Linked DNA regions of Tamandua tetradactyla. The protein of the gene in region 1 interacts with the protein of each later gene in a biochemical or structural test. Links are inferred from orthologs where the notes say so. Each region holds a gene or a part of one and is shown on either strand. Other genes may lie near its edges.

Region 1 (7,039 bases):
ATACAAAAAAAAAAAGTATCAAACAGATTTACACTAACCTTAATGTTTTTAGAGAACTGCTCATAAAACTTCTTGTAGTTCTCTTTATCTTCTGCCAGTTCAGTGAAGAGCTCTAAGCACTTTTTGACCAAATTCTTTCTGATAACTTTCAAAATTTTACTTTGTTGCAACATTTCACGAGAAATATTTAGAGGAAGATCCTCAGAGTCCACCACACCTCTAATGAAATCTGAAAAAACATAGACCAAATGCCTTCAAGATATACCACCCAAAGACAAAAATTGTTTAGTATAGACACCCAAAGAAACATAAACTAACCCAGCCACACTTACTCAGATATTCAGGGATCAGCTCCTCACAGTTATCCATAATGAAAACCCTGCGAACATACAACTTAATGTTGTTCTTTTTCTTCCTGTTTTCAAACAGGTCAAAAGGAGCACGTCTTGGGACAAAGAGAAGGGCTCTGAATTCTAACTGTCCTTCAACTGAAAAATGCTGGGGGAAAAAAGAACAAAACACTAAACACCAAGAGACAGTGAAAGCAGCTTTTACTGAACACTTTAACTGACAGATAAGTACTTGCAGTCACACAACTTAAAGCACTAAGACATAAAAGAAAAAAGCCCACACCACCTACCCTCTGATTTAACCATTTGAGACCAATTACCTGGCTGAGGCATGATAGTTCTGGAAGCACTCAATGCTCACCTTCACTGCCAAGTGGTCTTCCCAGTCGTTGGTCAAGCTCTTATAGAATTCTCCATATTCTTCATTAGTAATATCGTCAGGATTTCTGGTCCAGATGGGTTTTGTTTTGTTAAGTTCTTCTTGATCAATATATTTTTCCTTGATCTTCTTTTTCTTTTTTTTGTCACCATCCTTCTTTTCTTCTTCTTCATCATCAGAACCAACATCCTCTATTTCTGGCTTATCATCAGACTCCTTTTCTTCTTTTTCTTCCTCTTTTTCTTCCTTTTCTTCAGCCTCATCATCACTTACTTCTTTATCACGTTCTTTCTCCACCTGGTTAAAAAAATTACGTGAAATACTCTGCTTCCTAAGACTAAAACAGGCTAAGAGTACTTATATCATAATCTAAGTCAACCACGCAGAGAAACCTGTAAGGAAACTTTACAGCAACAAATTATTTCAGCCTTACTTCTGTATACAGAATTAAGGTCAGAGGAACCCAGCTCCAAACAGGCTTCAGACCAGCATTAATAAACCCTTTAAATTTGGGTCTTCCTTAGTTAAGCCTAAAGACTTCAAGTTCAGCTAATTACATACAGGCGTCCACTACGCAGTTTGCAGTTTATGTACAAACTTACAAAAAGAGTAATTGGATAGCCAATAAACTGAGAATGTTTTTTCACTATCTCCTTTATTCTTCTTTCCTCCAAATACTCAGTTTGGTCTTCTTTCAGATGCAGAATAACCTTTGTTCCACGACCCATGGGTTCACCTTAAAGGAAAAGAATACAACTTTCAGATATAGTTAAGGTTAAAAAAAATACCCATTTGGCTCAAGGTCACCTAAGAGGTCCTTGCCAGCACTTTCTGAACCAGTCCCTAATAGGCAGGGTTTACCCCCTCTCATAAGGCTGAGCAGCAGCACGCTCGGCTCCTGCACCTGCTTACATCTCTATTGGCTCTCACTTTCTCAAGACTTTCAGCACCACCCCCCCCCACCCCACCCTTAGATGCTCACCTGTGTCGGTCCTAACAGTGAAGGAGCCTCCCGCCGATGACTCCCAGGCATACTGTTCATCGTCATTGTGCTTGGTGATAACCGTCACCTTCTCCGCCACTAGGTAGGCAGAATAGAAACCCACGCCGAATTGGCCAATCATGGAGATATCGGCACCAGCCTGCAGCGCCTCCATGAACGCCTTGGTGCCCGACTTGGCGATGGTGCCCAAATTGTTGATCAGGTCAGCCTTAGTCATCCCGATGCCGGTATCCACGATGGTGAGCGTCCGGTCTTGCTTGTTGGGGATAAGATTGATGTGCAGCTCCTTCCCGGAATCCAGCTTGCTGGGGTCGGTCAAGCTCTCATATCGGATTTTGTCCAGAGCCTATACGCAAGAATACACCCGTCAAGCCCACGGCCGGGTCCTCACCCACACCCGACCCTGGAACACAGACTTACGTCCGACGAGTTTGAGATAAGCTCCCTCAGAAAGATCTCTTTGTTAGAATAGAAAGTGTTGATGATCAAAGACATCAACTGGGCGATCTCGGCCTGGAAGGCGAACGTCTCCACCTCCTCCTCCTCCATGGGCTGGTCTTGGGTCTGGGTCTCTTCGGGCATCTGCGGAAGGCAGCGCGCGCTCAGGCCGCGGCGTGGCGCGTAGCCGCGCCTCGGGGTCCGGAGCACCCGTCCGGTATTTTTAGAAACCCGCCCCAGGGAAGAGAAAAATTTAAGGAAACCGAAAATAGCCAGCGGGCTGACAAAGGGATGACCTCATTTAGCGCGGCGATAATCGCAGGGGCGCGCACACCCCGCCAGGAGACGTCGCGGGTTCAGTGCGCCTCTATCGCGCCCCGCCAACGGGGGCGCCCCCTTTCCCCGCCACGCCGCCATAACGCCCCCCCCCACCCCCCCGCCGCCACCCGCGTCCGCGAGCTGGGACCGAAACCGGGAGCCGTCTGCCCGGAGAGTCCTCGGCGCTAAGGCGTTTCTGCCCGCGCATAGAACCCATCCCCCACCGCCTCGGCAGAATATCCCGGGAGACCAAGGGGCGTCCGGAACCCGTTTCTGGGGAGGCCGCGGCAGGCCCGAAGCCTCCGGAAGGGAGACGGGGGCCGCCCCCACACTCATAGGCCGAGAACCGCGGAAAGGTGCTGGGGGCTGAGTCTGGTGCCCCCGGCCGCGCCTCCCCGCTCATTCCCAGACACCAGCACCCTCCCGTGCCAGAAGAGACCCCCAAGTTCCCCTTACCTTGGCGATAGGAACACGCAGTTACCACACCGCAGCAACCCCTGGACGCTGAAGCAACTGGCGCGCCACCCCCGCGCCTCCCTTATATAGACGCGGGCCCGCCCAGCGCGCGGCGCCTTTTCCAGAAGCCTCCCGAACCTTCCGGAAGAACCCTCCCCAACTGCCGCCGCGACCGCGCGCCTGCGCCTGCGCCCTGGCCGCGTCCCGCCCCGAGCCGAGAATGGCCTAGGCGTCCCGCCCCGCCTCGCTGCGCGCTCTCGCGTCGCCTTCTGCGCCTGCGCGGCCCGGAATTCTCGGGAAGGTCTCTGCGCTTCCGGCGCCACCGACCCCCGCCCACCCTCTTTCCTCAGGCTGGTCCCGGTTGTGTGTATCCCTGCCACCCGTGCCCTGGCCCTGGGGTCTCGGTGGGCCCCTGGGTTGTGCCCCCAGCTCGGCGAGGGTACTGGGGGCCCGGAAAATAGTGCACGTGGCCGAGTTGCTGTGAAATTTGCAGTGATTTCTTGATTCTTAGGCAGTGTGCCCTCCCTGATGGCGTAAGCGTCTGCTCAACGCTTGGGCTGCGACTTAGGGGTCCAGGGTCGCGTGTAGAGGTCCAGAGCAGCAGTTAGAGGGTTGGTGTCGTGTTTAGGGTTCCGGGACACGGATTGGGGGGTTGGGGCAGCATTTAGGTGACCCAGGCAGTGATTAGGGGGTTGGGGTTATGTTTAGGGTTCTGGGACATGGATTGAGGGTTCTTCCGTGCCTGCCCTCTCCACTGTCAACTTTCGTTTTGCATGGGGGTGGGGGGCTGGGGCTCGTGACGCAGACTAGTGCGTTTGAGGCGTGTAGGGTCGGTCCGTGACGGGGTGCGGATGAAGGGTCACTAGTGAAAGGTTTAGGAGGCGAAAGGGTGAGAAGAAAGAAAGGTACACTAGGAAATTTAAAGTGGGGGGGGGTGGGTGGGTATTTCTGCGCTCCCAGGCAGAACTCACCAAACCCAAGATGGAGGGAGGTGAGTGCGCGTGTGGGCTTTGGCACAGGCAGCTTTTAAGGTTTGAGGTCAGGTCACTTCTGGAAGGGGAAGGTCATTAGTTCCAGAAGTCAGGCTGAGAGGGGTGACACAGCCTCTGCAGCTCCGATTGCAGTGCCCTTCACGGTTCCCCTGACCTAACATTCCAACCTTTTTGTGATAATAGGGTGCTGAGATCTTTCTGGCTACTTACTGCTGTAATGGGGCGGCGTGGGGTTATAGGCTGGAACCGTCATGGCCAGGGGAGCGGGGAGGCTGGCTGTAGGAATTTGGTGAGGAAGGCAGGTGATGATAATGATGCAGGAGCATTTGGTTGACTTCTACTGGGGATAGTTCCTTCATGCACCCCTGAAGGAAGTTGAGGAGGCAGGGAGCTAGGAGAAAAAAGAGACAGATTAGGATAACTGGTCCTAGTAGTGGGAGGAGTCATGTCACCAGAGGAGAAGAAATCCAGCTTAAGGCAGAGTTGGTTCCTTGTTTTCTGTGGTAGAGATCGTCTCTTAGTTTGTTTAGGGTTTGAATATTTTGTTTCACCAGACCTGACTCGTTGATGTAATAGCAGCATTCCTCTTGGAGGAATATACACGTTCCTCCTTTATCAGCTGTCAGCAGGTCTAAGGCCCGTCGATTTTGAAGAGTTACCTGGGCTAATGAGGTGAGTTGGCGTTGTAGAGAGGAGAGGGATTCTGATGTCAATTCCAGGGCTACCTGTAGTCGAGTTTCAAAGTTTTGAGAGGTTAAAATATCATGTCCCAGAGCCCCTCCTGCTGTGGCTGAGGCTGCAACTGAAGTGGTTAGGCTGATGCCTACTAGGATAGGAAGAAAGGCAGCCCTTTTTGAGCGAGGAGAGGGCAGTAACCAAGTTAGTTCGGACTCCCCATAGAGGGTTAATTGAGGAACAATAGTTACCAGGAAGCATGGTCCTGGGGCAGTGGAGTTAAGGCATGTGGTAAGAGTTCCATTACACCAGAAATATTGTCCTTTGGGGGCATGGGTGGTGTTGTGGATAGTGGTGTTAGTCCGGCACTTGCTATGAAGTTCTTTTTGAGGGTTTTTTATCCAATGTAGTGAGGCTCTTAATTTGGCAAGAAGATCTCGCCTCATTAATGGGCTGGGGCAAGAAGGCATTACTAAGAAAGAGTGTGTAATGGGGTACCCTTCTATTAAATACGTTAGCAGTCCAGTAGTTAAGGGGCACAAAGGACGGCCGTCTATGCCCATAACGGTGACCTGGGAAGGAAGGAGTTGACCTGAGTAAGAGGGAAGGTAGCCCTTGTGTCCACTAAAAAGGAGGTGGACTTACCTGCTACGTTGATTGTTACCCTGGGCTCAATGAGGGTGATTGGGGTCACTGAGGCCGGGTGTTGTCAGTCATTGGTGGCCAGGCCCAGGACTGCTAGCTGTGGGTTAGGGGTTGGAAGGACAGCCCCTTCACGGCCAGGCACCGAGGAGCAGTCACTTTTCCAGTGTCCCTTTTTACCACGGAGAGGGCATGGTCCCTTGGGCAGTCGAGGATTGGGGCACTGGCGGAACCACTGTCCATCGAGGCCACATTTGAAGCACTTTCCTTGTGGTGGATTAGTCGTAGCTGGCTTCTTCTCCGTTGAAGTGGGCCGCAGAGCCGCAGTCAGGGATTGGGTTTGTAAATTCGCCTTTGGGCGGTCCCGGGATTCCTTTTCTGCCCTCTCCAATTCATCACGAGTATTAAAAATTTTAAAGGCCGTGTTTACCAGGTCACGGATAGGGGCCTGAGGGCCTTCCTCAATTTTTCTAAGTTTACGCCTTATATCTTGAGCCGATTGGGATATAAAGTGTGTGACTAAAACAGTTTTACCAGCCTCCAAGTCGGGGTCTAGGCGGGTATATTGGGAGAGGGCTTCTGTGAGCTGGTGTAGAAAAGCGGCCGGGTTTTCATCAGGACCCTGGGTAATTTCCCTTAGCTTATGGAAGTTTACTACTTTATGTGAAGCTTTCTGCTTGCTGGCTATGAGGCATGTAAGCATTTTGTCCCGTCTAGTCTGCCCGTTCCTCCCCGCTGGAGTGTCATCCTGATATTCCCACCCTGGCTCCTGGTCTGGCACGGCCTAGGCCCCTACCGGCATGGTGTGGTAGGTTATATGCACCTGGTTAGCGTGGGCCCTGGCTGCATTGAAAATGCAGTCCATTTCATCTGTAGTGAGGGAAGAAGAGCAGATTATATGAATGTCATGCCAAGTGAGGTCATAAGCATTAGCTAGATACTGGAACTGTTTAGTATAGGTAGTTGGATCGTTGGAGAAGGAACCCAACCATTTTTCAATGTGTGAAAGATTGGCCAGAGAGAAGGGAGTGTGTACCTGAATTAATCCTTCAGGTCCTGCAACCTCCTGGAGGGGACAGAGTAAAGTACTTTTTGAGCGGGTATGGGAGCTTACAGGTGAGGGTAGCGAGGAACTAGCTGGTGGCAGAAGAGCCGAAGCAGGGGGTGGGGGTCATGCCGGTAATGGGAGAGCCTTTGGAGTAGAAGGAGGAAGGGAAGGATAGGATGGTGGCTGGAATGTTGCTGGAGCAGGGGTAGGAAGAGGGGGGTAAGATGGTGGCTGGAGCGCCACCAGTGGAGGAGGAAGACGAAGGCAAGATGGCAGCGGGAGTGCCGCCGGTGCGGAAGGGGAGAGTGGAGGGAAAGATAGCGGCTGGGACGTCACTGGAACAGAAGGAGGAAGAGAAGGAGAAGATGGCAACTGAGATGTCACTGAAGCAGAAGGGGGGAGGGAAAGGCAAGATGGCGACTGGAGCGCTGCTGGAGGGAGGGGAGGGTAGAGCGAGGGAGAGGAGGTTAGTTTCGCAAGATGCAGTGGTGGCCCTGGTCTTTTAAAGGAAGATGAATCGAGGGGGTCAGAAAAGGAGGAAGTTTCTTCTGAGAGAAGTGGGGATTTGGGAGTTTCCTTGGCTAGGAGAACATGAGCTATAGAGCAGGAGGTACAAAGGGAGGGGCGGGAGCGCAGAAGGAAAAAAGCCTGGACATAAGGAATTTCGGCCCATTTGTCATTCCTCTGGCAAAAGTTGCGGAGGTTCGTAAGGATATTAAAATCGAAAGTCCCATCCTC
Region 2 (7,273 bases), on another chromosome or scaffold:
CAAACAGTGGCTCCATCACTTCCACGCAAATATTGAGTGAAAAACAAGTTCCCACCACTCCTTCAGGCAGAAGACAGACTCAACCCAGGCTGCAGAGCACAACCAATCCCAGGCTGCGTAGGGGTCCCCTGCTGCAGCACGGGGTCCCATGCCCAGAGCTGGGAGATGCCTCGGCCACTCCGGGGCCTGTGAGGGGAGCCCCTCCATGCAGAGGCCTCCAGCAGCCACACTTCCCTAACATGGCCCCAGCCAGGCCCCGCCCCCACACTCCCCTCACCCCCCAGTGACTGAAGCCCACTGTGGGCCTCCACGAGCCGGGAGGGCCCCTGAGCCCAGCGGATGTGGTGAGACGGGCGCCGTCGGCCACCCGGGCCCCGTCCACAGGAGCCCGTCCAGTGCCTGGACCGGCCCTGCCTGGCCCCTCCCACCCAGGACCTAACACGGGGGGCGGCACCCAGGTCATGGCACCCAGGACCTAACATGGGGGGCGGCACCCAGATCATGGCACCCAGGACCTAACACGGGGGGTGGCCCTCAGCGCCGAGGCGGGACGCAGGAGCTCGGGCTCTGCTGCTCCAGGTGACCAGAGCCCAGGGCTGGGTGGGCCACGGCCACGGGGCTGGCCTTGGTGCCAGCGGGTGGCCACTGCCTGGTTCCAGGCCCGCAGGGGCGGTCTTGGTGGGCAGCTGTCTACACTGTGCAGGCCCCGCGGTGGCGTGGAGCTCGCACCGCAGGAAAACTCGCTCTTGCCGGCACCCCATTCCTAAGGGGCCCAGTGCAGAAGCTGGACAGACGTCCACGGGACCCAGATGGACAGGGAAGACACCACCCCCTGCACGGCCATGGGAGGGAAAAGCCAAGAGGCCCAAGGACTGCCGGTGGCCAGGGGACACAGGCCCGGGGGAAGGCAGCCTGCGGCCTCGAGACACTGCGGCCTCGATACGCTGCCTGCCGCACCCCAGCAGCCGGGAAGCGGGGACAGGTCGTCGGACCAGGGTGGGCCGTGGCTGTCCACCGGGGACGGCTGCGGGCAGCGGGATGCGGGGCACCAAACTGGGCAAGCACCTCCCCTACCGCAGCCCCTGCGCGCTCGCCCTGGGCGGTGGGAAGCGTGACCGGGCGCGGCCACTGCACTGTCGTTGCACCTGCGGGACAGGCCACTCGCCCTCGCCGGGGAGCGTGTGGACACGCCGTGGCACCCCCACGGCACACAACACGGCCCCACAGCCAAAGCCACGGATTCTGAGCAGCGCCAGGCTAGTGTCCGGACGCGTGGCGAGGGCAGAAAGCCCGCCCCAAAGGCCATGTGTGATTCCATTCCTGTCGCGCTCTCCAATCGACAAAATTAGAGCTGGAGAAGGGCCGGGGTCACCAGGGGATGCGGCGAGGGGCGGGAGGCACATGGGGGCCTGCTCGGTATTGGGGCTCAGCTCCCAGCCTCGATCAAGCCGGAGGCCACGCAAACTGAACAGACGCAGGCGGATGCCCAGGCAGTGTCACAGCCACAGAGACGTCACAGCTGGGGCTGAGGGCAGCCCCCAGGCAGACTGAGGACCCAGAAGAAACACTGTAAACAGGCCCCTTGAAGCTGTCAGCCTCGGTCAATGTGTGGCCACCCGAGCCAGGCTGCATCCTGCCCCCGGGATAGAAGGCCACGAAGAGAAGCTGGAGGTCACAGAGCCGAGGCAAAAGGCGGGGGTGGCACCAGGGCCCAGCACTGCCAGAAACCCCCGAACACATGGGACGGAGCCTTCCAGCCTCGGAACCCTGAGCCGCAGAGTGCCCGTGCTTAACCAGCCCAGGGCGTGGTGTTTGTCTCGGTGCAGGACACCGGGGCCCTCGGAAAGTGTCTGGGAACCTGGGAGCGTGCTGCCTTCTGGGGCGAAACGACCTGGAGTAGGGAGAGTCTCCTGGGTGCAGGGTCACTGCAGTGGACAGCAGAGCCAGGAAGCAGGACTCGGGGTCAGAGAGGGCATCGGCTTGAGAGTGCAGGAAGGAGCCATGAGCCCCCCGAGGCCGGAAAAGGCTAGGGGCGGGTCTTCCCAAGCCTCCAGGACAATTGTGCACCTGCACCTGGCGAGCGAGGTCGCTGGACCTCTGGCCCCCAGCTGCTGTGTGCCAGGTCACTGTTACAGCACCTACAGGTGCCAATTCCCTGGGGGTCATAAGGATTTCAAAGCCACAAGTGAGAGAACAGAGCGCTGGGAGTGAGCCCCCGGGGTGGGGGTGGGGGTGCTGTGTCCGGCGTCCAGCATGGGCACCCTGTATACAGTGGGGTGTGCCGTGGACCCCACATCCTTGCATGTACTTTCCCTTAGAATGGGAGCTTACTCCCATTAAGTCCCACGGCACCCATTTTGGAGCCGCAGACGGCTGAGACGCGGCCAGTCCTCCCCCTTTCCGCAGCGCGCACCCAGCACGCCAGGACGGCGTGACCAGCCCCGCCCACGGCACCCCACCCCAAGACCTGCGCCTTCAGCCCCCCAAACCCACGGGAGACCCCCGCAGCGCTGTGGAACCCCGAGCCTGCCCCTTTCCCTCAGGATCTCCCAGGGGTGGGTTGTACACGCAGGCCTGTGGCGTGGGGGCCACTTATTTCTCTCCTTACTCAGGGCTGAAGCGACTCACTGCCCGCCCTGCGCGGGTTGCTGGGTTTCCCTTCACCTCCCGGTGTGGTCAGCACGTGGACACCGCCCTGGAGGCGGCCACCTTGGCGCCCCCCTCCTGGGATTGAAAACAGGGCCTTCCTGCGTGCACGCCGCTGTCTCTGGCTGGGGCGCAGCGTTCAGCACTGCCGCCCGTCCCTGCCGTGGAAGGGCTAGAGCGCTTTTCTGTGGCTGGCCTGTGTTCCAGCCAACTGGGGTAGACTGAGTCACGTCCCGACAAAGGCACGTCAGAGCCCTGGCCCAAGCCAGGGGATGAGCTGTTCTGTCACTGGGATGGTGGCGTGGGCCTGGCCGGCGCTCTGCCCTGCCTCAGTTTCTCCCGCTCCCTTTAAGGATGAGCTGCGCCTTCTGACGCCCCGTTCGTGGCGCCTGTTGAAGGTTCTGTGTTGGGGCAGCCACTTCTCTGTTGGGAAAGCGCACGTTCTCCAAAGCAGCGCGAATCCTTCGCCGCACAGTTAAGCGGTTGTCCAACACCGCCTTGCCGAGGCAGGAGCTGGCGCAGCGCACGGCGGAAACGGCTCCAGACAGCTCTGCGCATTTACCGCAGCCCGGACAGGGTAAATGCGCAGCGACGGCCTCGCCAGCTGCTCAGGTTGGAAAGGTCACGTTTGCTCAGCGTTTCAGCGTTTACGAAACTCCCAGCTCCACTCCAGAGACCCCCAGTGTCTCCACTTGGTGACTCAAACTTGACCGCCCCAAGTGTGGGTTTAAAGTCGAGTCCCGTGGAGTGTCGTGAAGGAGGTGAACTGAGGCCGCCCCGTCTGTGCCCCCGCCCCGTGACCTCAGCCTGTGCACCCTCAAGCGGTGGAGGGGTAACTGGTAAAGGGGGGCCGGGCTGTGGGATCACACCTCCCTCGCGGCCCAGTGGGCCCCTGCCCGTGAAGTGGGTTCTGAGGGGAGAGCTGCCCCCTTGGCCGGGGGGTGGGGGTGGGGCAGATTACACCAGGAACGGCTTTGGTTTGCTGTTTACTGTCCCCACCACGGCAGGAGCCTGAAAAGGGGACCCCGAAAAGGGGACCCTGGCGCGTGGTGGGGCTGCGATTCCGACCCGGTCGGGAACGTGCTGTAGGGAGGGCTGGCTGCCATCGTCCCTTTCCGTGGCACCAGCCGCGCGGGGGCCGAGGGCCTCCGAGGAAGGGAGTAGCAGAACGCCCTCTCCTCAGGGGCGCAGAGACCCCCAGCTCCCTGTGGACCCCATCCGAAGGTCCGCCGCCCCGGCTAAGTCCGGATCCTCTTGGCAGAGAGGCCGCACTCTGCGCCCCGCGCCCGCCGCGCCTCTGAGCCCGGAGACGCCCTGAGAGGGGTCGCCCTGCAGCAGCCGGGTGCGTCCAGACTCCGCCTGCGCTCAGCCCTGATGCGGCCCTCGAGTGCCCGCCCAGATCCCCGGCGGGGAACAGGTGCGCGCAGGTCCCGCCCCCGCCCCGCCCAGGGCTCCGCCCCACCACGCCCCTTCCTCTCCGGGCCCCGCCCCACCACGCCCCTTCCTGCTGCGGCCCCTCCCCTCCTCGCAGCGCCGGCGGGAGCCTGGATCCCCAGCACGTGGGAGCTCGGCTCGCGCGCCCCGGCCCTTCCCCGCCGCGATGCCGCGCGCCCCCCGCTGTCGGGCCGTGCGCGCGCTGCTGCGCGGGCGCTACCGTGAGGTGCTGCCGCTGGCCAAGTTCGCCCGGCGCCTGGGGGCCGAGGGCCGGCGGCTGGTGCGGCGCGGGGATCCTGCGTCCTTCCGTGCGCTGGTGGCCCAGTGCCTGGTGTGCGTGCCCTGGGGCGCGCGGCCGCTCCCCGCTGCCCCCTCCTTCCAACAGGTGGGACCCGCCGGGCCCTTTTCGCCCCACCCCGCCGGCGTGCCGCGGGGCACGTGCATTCCGGGGCGCCGACTCACGCCCCTCAACCCCCGTCGCGTCCGCAGGTGTCCTACCTGAAGGAGCTGGTGGCCAGGGTCGTGCAGGGCCTGTGCGAGCGCGGCACCAGGAACGTGCTGGCCTTCGGCTTCGCACTGCTGGACGAGGCGCGCGACGGGCCGCCGGTGGCCTTCACGACGAGCGTGCGCAGCTACCTGCCCAACACGGCCACCGAGACGCTGCGCGGCAGCGGCGCGTGGGGGTTGCTGCTGCACCGCCTTGGGGACGACGTGCTGGCCCACCTGCTGACGCGCTGCGCACTCTACCTGCTGGTGGCCCCCAGCTGCGCCTACCAGGTGTGCGGGGCGCCGCTCTACGAGCTCGGCTGGTCCCCTGTCCGTTCGGCTCGGCGATCTGCCAGCGCCGGGGAGGTAGCGCAGAGGGTCGGCACAGCGGCAGCCCCCAGCCGGAGGCGACGTCGAGGCAGCGCGAGCGGGTCGTCTTCGGCCAAGAGACCCAGGCGTGACCCGGTTGGGGAGCCCGATGAGCCGGCTGCCCTGGCTGACCCAGGCCGGGTACAGATGCAGAGGGACAGCGATACCCCGACTGGGACAGCCATCCCCGGAGCCGCCACGTTTGCCACCACTTGGGAGAGCGAGCCGTTGGGGACATGTGGCCCTTCCACGCGGGCGGGCAGCGATCGCGCCACCCGGTCCTCGTCCACACGGCCACCGCCGTCGGGTCCCTGGGACACTTACATCGAGACCAAGCTCCTCCTGTACTCCGCCCGGGCCAGCGAGCGGCTGCCGCGCTCCTTCCTGCTCAGCGGCTTGCAGGGAAGCCTGGCAGGCGCCGGCCGCCTCGTGGAGGCCATCTTCCTGCCCTCGACGCCGCCCGCCCGCGGGGCCTCCCGGAGGACGCGGCGCCTGCCCCAGCGCTACTGGAGAATGCGGCCCCTGTTCCGGGAGCTGCTGGAGAACCACGCGCGGTGCCCATATGGCGCGCTGCTCAGCACGCACTGCCCACGCCGGGCCTCAACGTCCGTGCGGGGGTCCCCTGGGCGCGCCGAGGCTGGGGGCCTGCTGTCGGGCGGGGCAGGGGGCGGGCCCCAGGAGAGGCCCCCCAGGCTGGCAGCGGAGGCAGCCGGCGAGGAGGACGCGGAGCCGCGGCGTCTGGTGCAGCTGCTCCGTCGGCACAGCAGCCCGTGGCAGGTGTACATGTTCCTGCGCGCGTGTCTCCAGCGGCTGGTGCCCACCCGCCTCTGGGGCTCCAGACACAATAAGTGTCGCTTCCTGAGGAACGTGAAGAAGTTCCTCTCGCTGGGGAAGCACGCCCGGCTGCCGCTGAGGGAACTGATGTGGAAGATGAGGGTGGAGGACTGCACCTGGCTGCGCCGGCGTCCAGGTGAGCAGGTGGGCCCAGGACGGGGCAGGTGGCTGTCCAGCGGTGGCATGCAGCTGTGAGCACGGGAGGCTCGAGAAGGCGCACACTGGTGGGCAGAGGTCCGCCTGGGTCCTCGGACCCCTTCCCTCACTTGGGGTGCAAGTTGCTTCCTGTTCAGGCCACATGTAGGCCATCTCTGCCCTCTGATCCACGCCCTTACCTGCCCAGCACTGTCCACCCATTTGTGGGCTCAGGCCGGAGCAGTGAGCAAACAGGATGCAGAGGGCCAGTGGAAGCAGGTTTCCAGCAACAGGTCAGAAGTGTCCAGAAGCTCTCATGAGGGTGCGGGCAGCTCACTGCTGTCCCCTCCTTGACTTTAAAGTTTATCCCTGTAAAACCGGGCCCCATGCTCCACGTGGGGGGAGGGAAGAGAAGGGGATGGGAACTGAGCCTTTGTGGGTGGTGGGCGGGGGGCAGCGGGCAGATCCGCACTTAGGGCTGAGCTGGGCGGGGAGGGCAGGGTGCGGGAGGGGTGCAGGAGCCGTGGGAGCCAGACCGATGGGTGGGGAGAGCAGTGGGTAGCCTCTTGCTGCAGGGCAGCCAGGCAGCCCCGAGGTCCTGGGGGGCCCCTTGGTTCATGCCGTGCTCCAGGACTTGACATGGAGTCCCTTCTGCCCCCGTCGCCCACACACTAGTGTCAAGAGGCACGGGCCGCCCGCCTCTGCCGCGCCGTCTGGTGAGCAGCCTGTCCTTCACCCCGCCTCGGGTGTGCGGGGCGCCCGGTCTCCCTCCGGTTGGTGGCTCGGCCCTGACTGTCCCTCCAGGCCCTGCTTTAGCCGCACCCAGGCTCCATGTGCGCCGCTCACGGTAGCGGCCATTCGAGTGTGTTCTCGTCTCTTCTGAGATCAGGTCAGCGCGTTAGTTAAGACGTTTGTGTTTTATTTCCCACGTGTGTGGGATGTCGCGGGCTGTTGTGGGTGGCTTCTCCCCACGGTGTGCTGGTCAGGGGGAGGGGGCTGCACGAGACTGTGTGATGTCTCTTGGGACTTTTCTCCTGCCGGGGGGGTGTGCTCTGCGCGAAGCCCGGTGGGCGTTGGGGCCCCCCAGGCTCCCCCCGTGCTGCCCGGAGCTGCTGCCCCTACGCAGCTGGCACGCGGCCCACACCCTCCCGCGGGGTCTGCGCTGGGCACGCTGCGGGGACCGTGACGAGGACTTGGCAGCGTACTGGAGGGTCCGTCTTCCTGGCGATTGCTCCCCGGTCGTGGCGGCTCTCACGGCCCTTCGGGGGCCGCGCGGTTTCCCTGTGGCAATGGCCGTCCATTGCGCCTTCTCACCCTTCTGTTTTACCCTCTCGTGGCCTCGGACCTTCTCAGCGCGTGTCCTGTGACA

What was found.
Region 2: the proteins of HSP90AA1 (region 1) and TERT form a complex in vitro, tested with the Homo sapiens proteins (2 studies listed by BioGRID). The link is inferred for Tamandua tetradactyla from reciprocal best matches to the Homo sapiens genes HSP90AA1 and TERT.

Annotation. Positions count from the first base shown.
Region 1 is NC_135338.1:63,505,207-63,512,245, forward strand, and holds the start of HSP90AA1 (heat shock protein HSP 90-alpha), read right to left. Parts: upstream 3,088-7,039; 5' UTR 2,945-3,087; intron 2,315-2,944; coding exon 2,153-2,314; intron 2,079-2,152; coding exon 1,712-2,078; intron 1,466-1,711; coding exon 1,332-1,465; intron 1,027-1,331; coding exon 712-1,026; intron 499-711; coding exon 333-498; intron 230-332; coding exon 39-229; intron 1-38. UniProt on the Homo sapiens protein: Molecular chaperone that promotes the maturation, structural maintenance and proper regulation of specific target proteins involved for instance in cell cycle control and signal transduction.
Region 2 is NC_135335.1:49,469,625-49,476,897, reverse strand, and holds the start of TERT (telomerase reverse transcriptase), read left to right. Parts: upstream 1-4,246; coding exon 4,247-4,465; intron 4,466-4,569; coding exon 4,570-5,905; intron 5,906-7,273. UniProt on the Homo sapiens protein: Telomerase is a ribonucleoprotein enzyme essential for the replication of chromosome termini in most eukaryotes. Active in progenitor and cancer cells. Inactive, or very low activity, in normal somatic cells.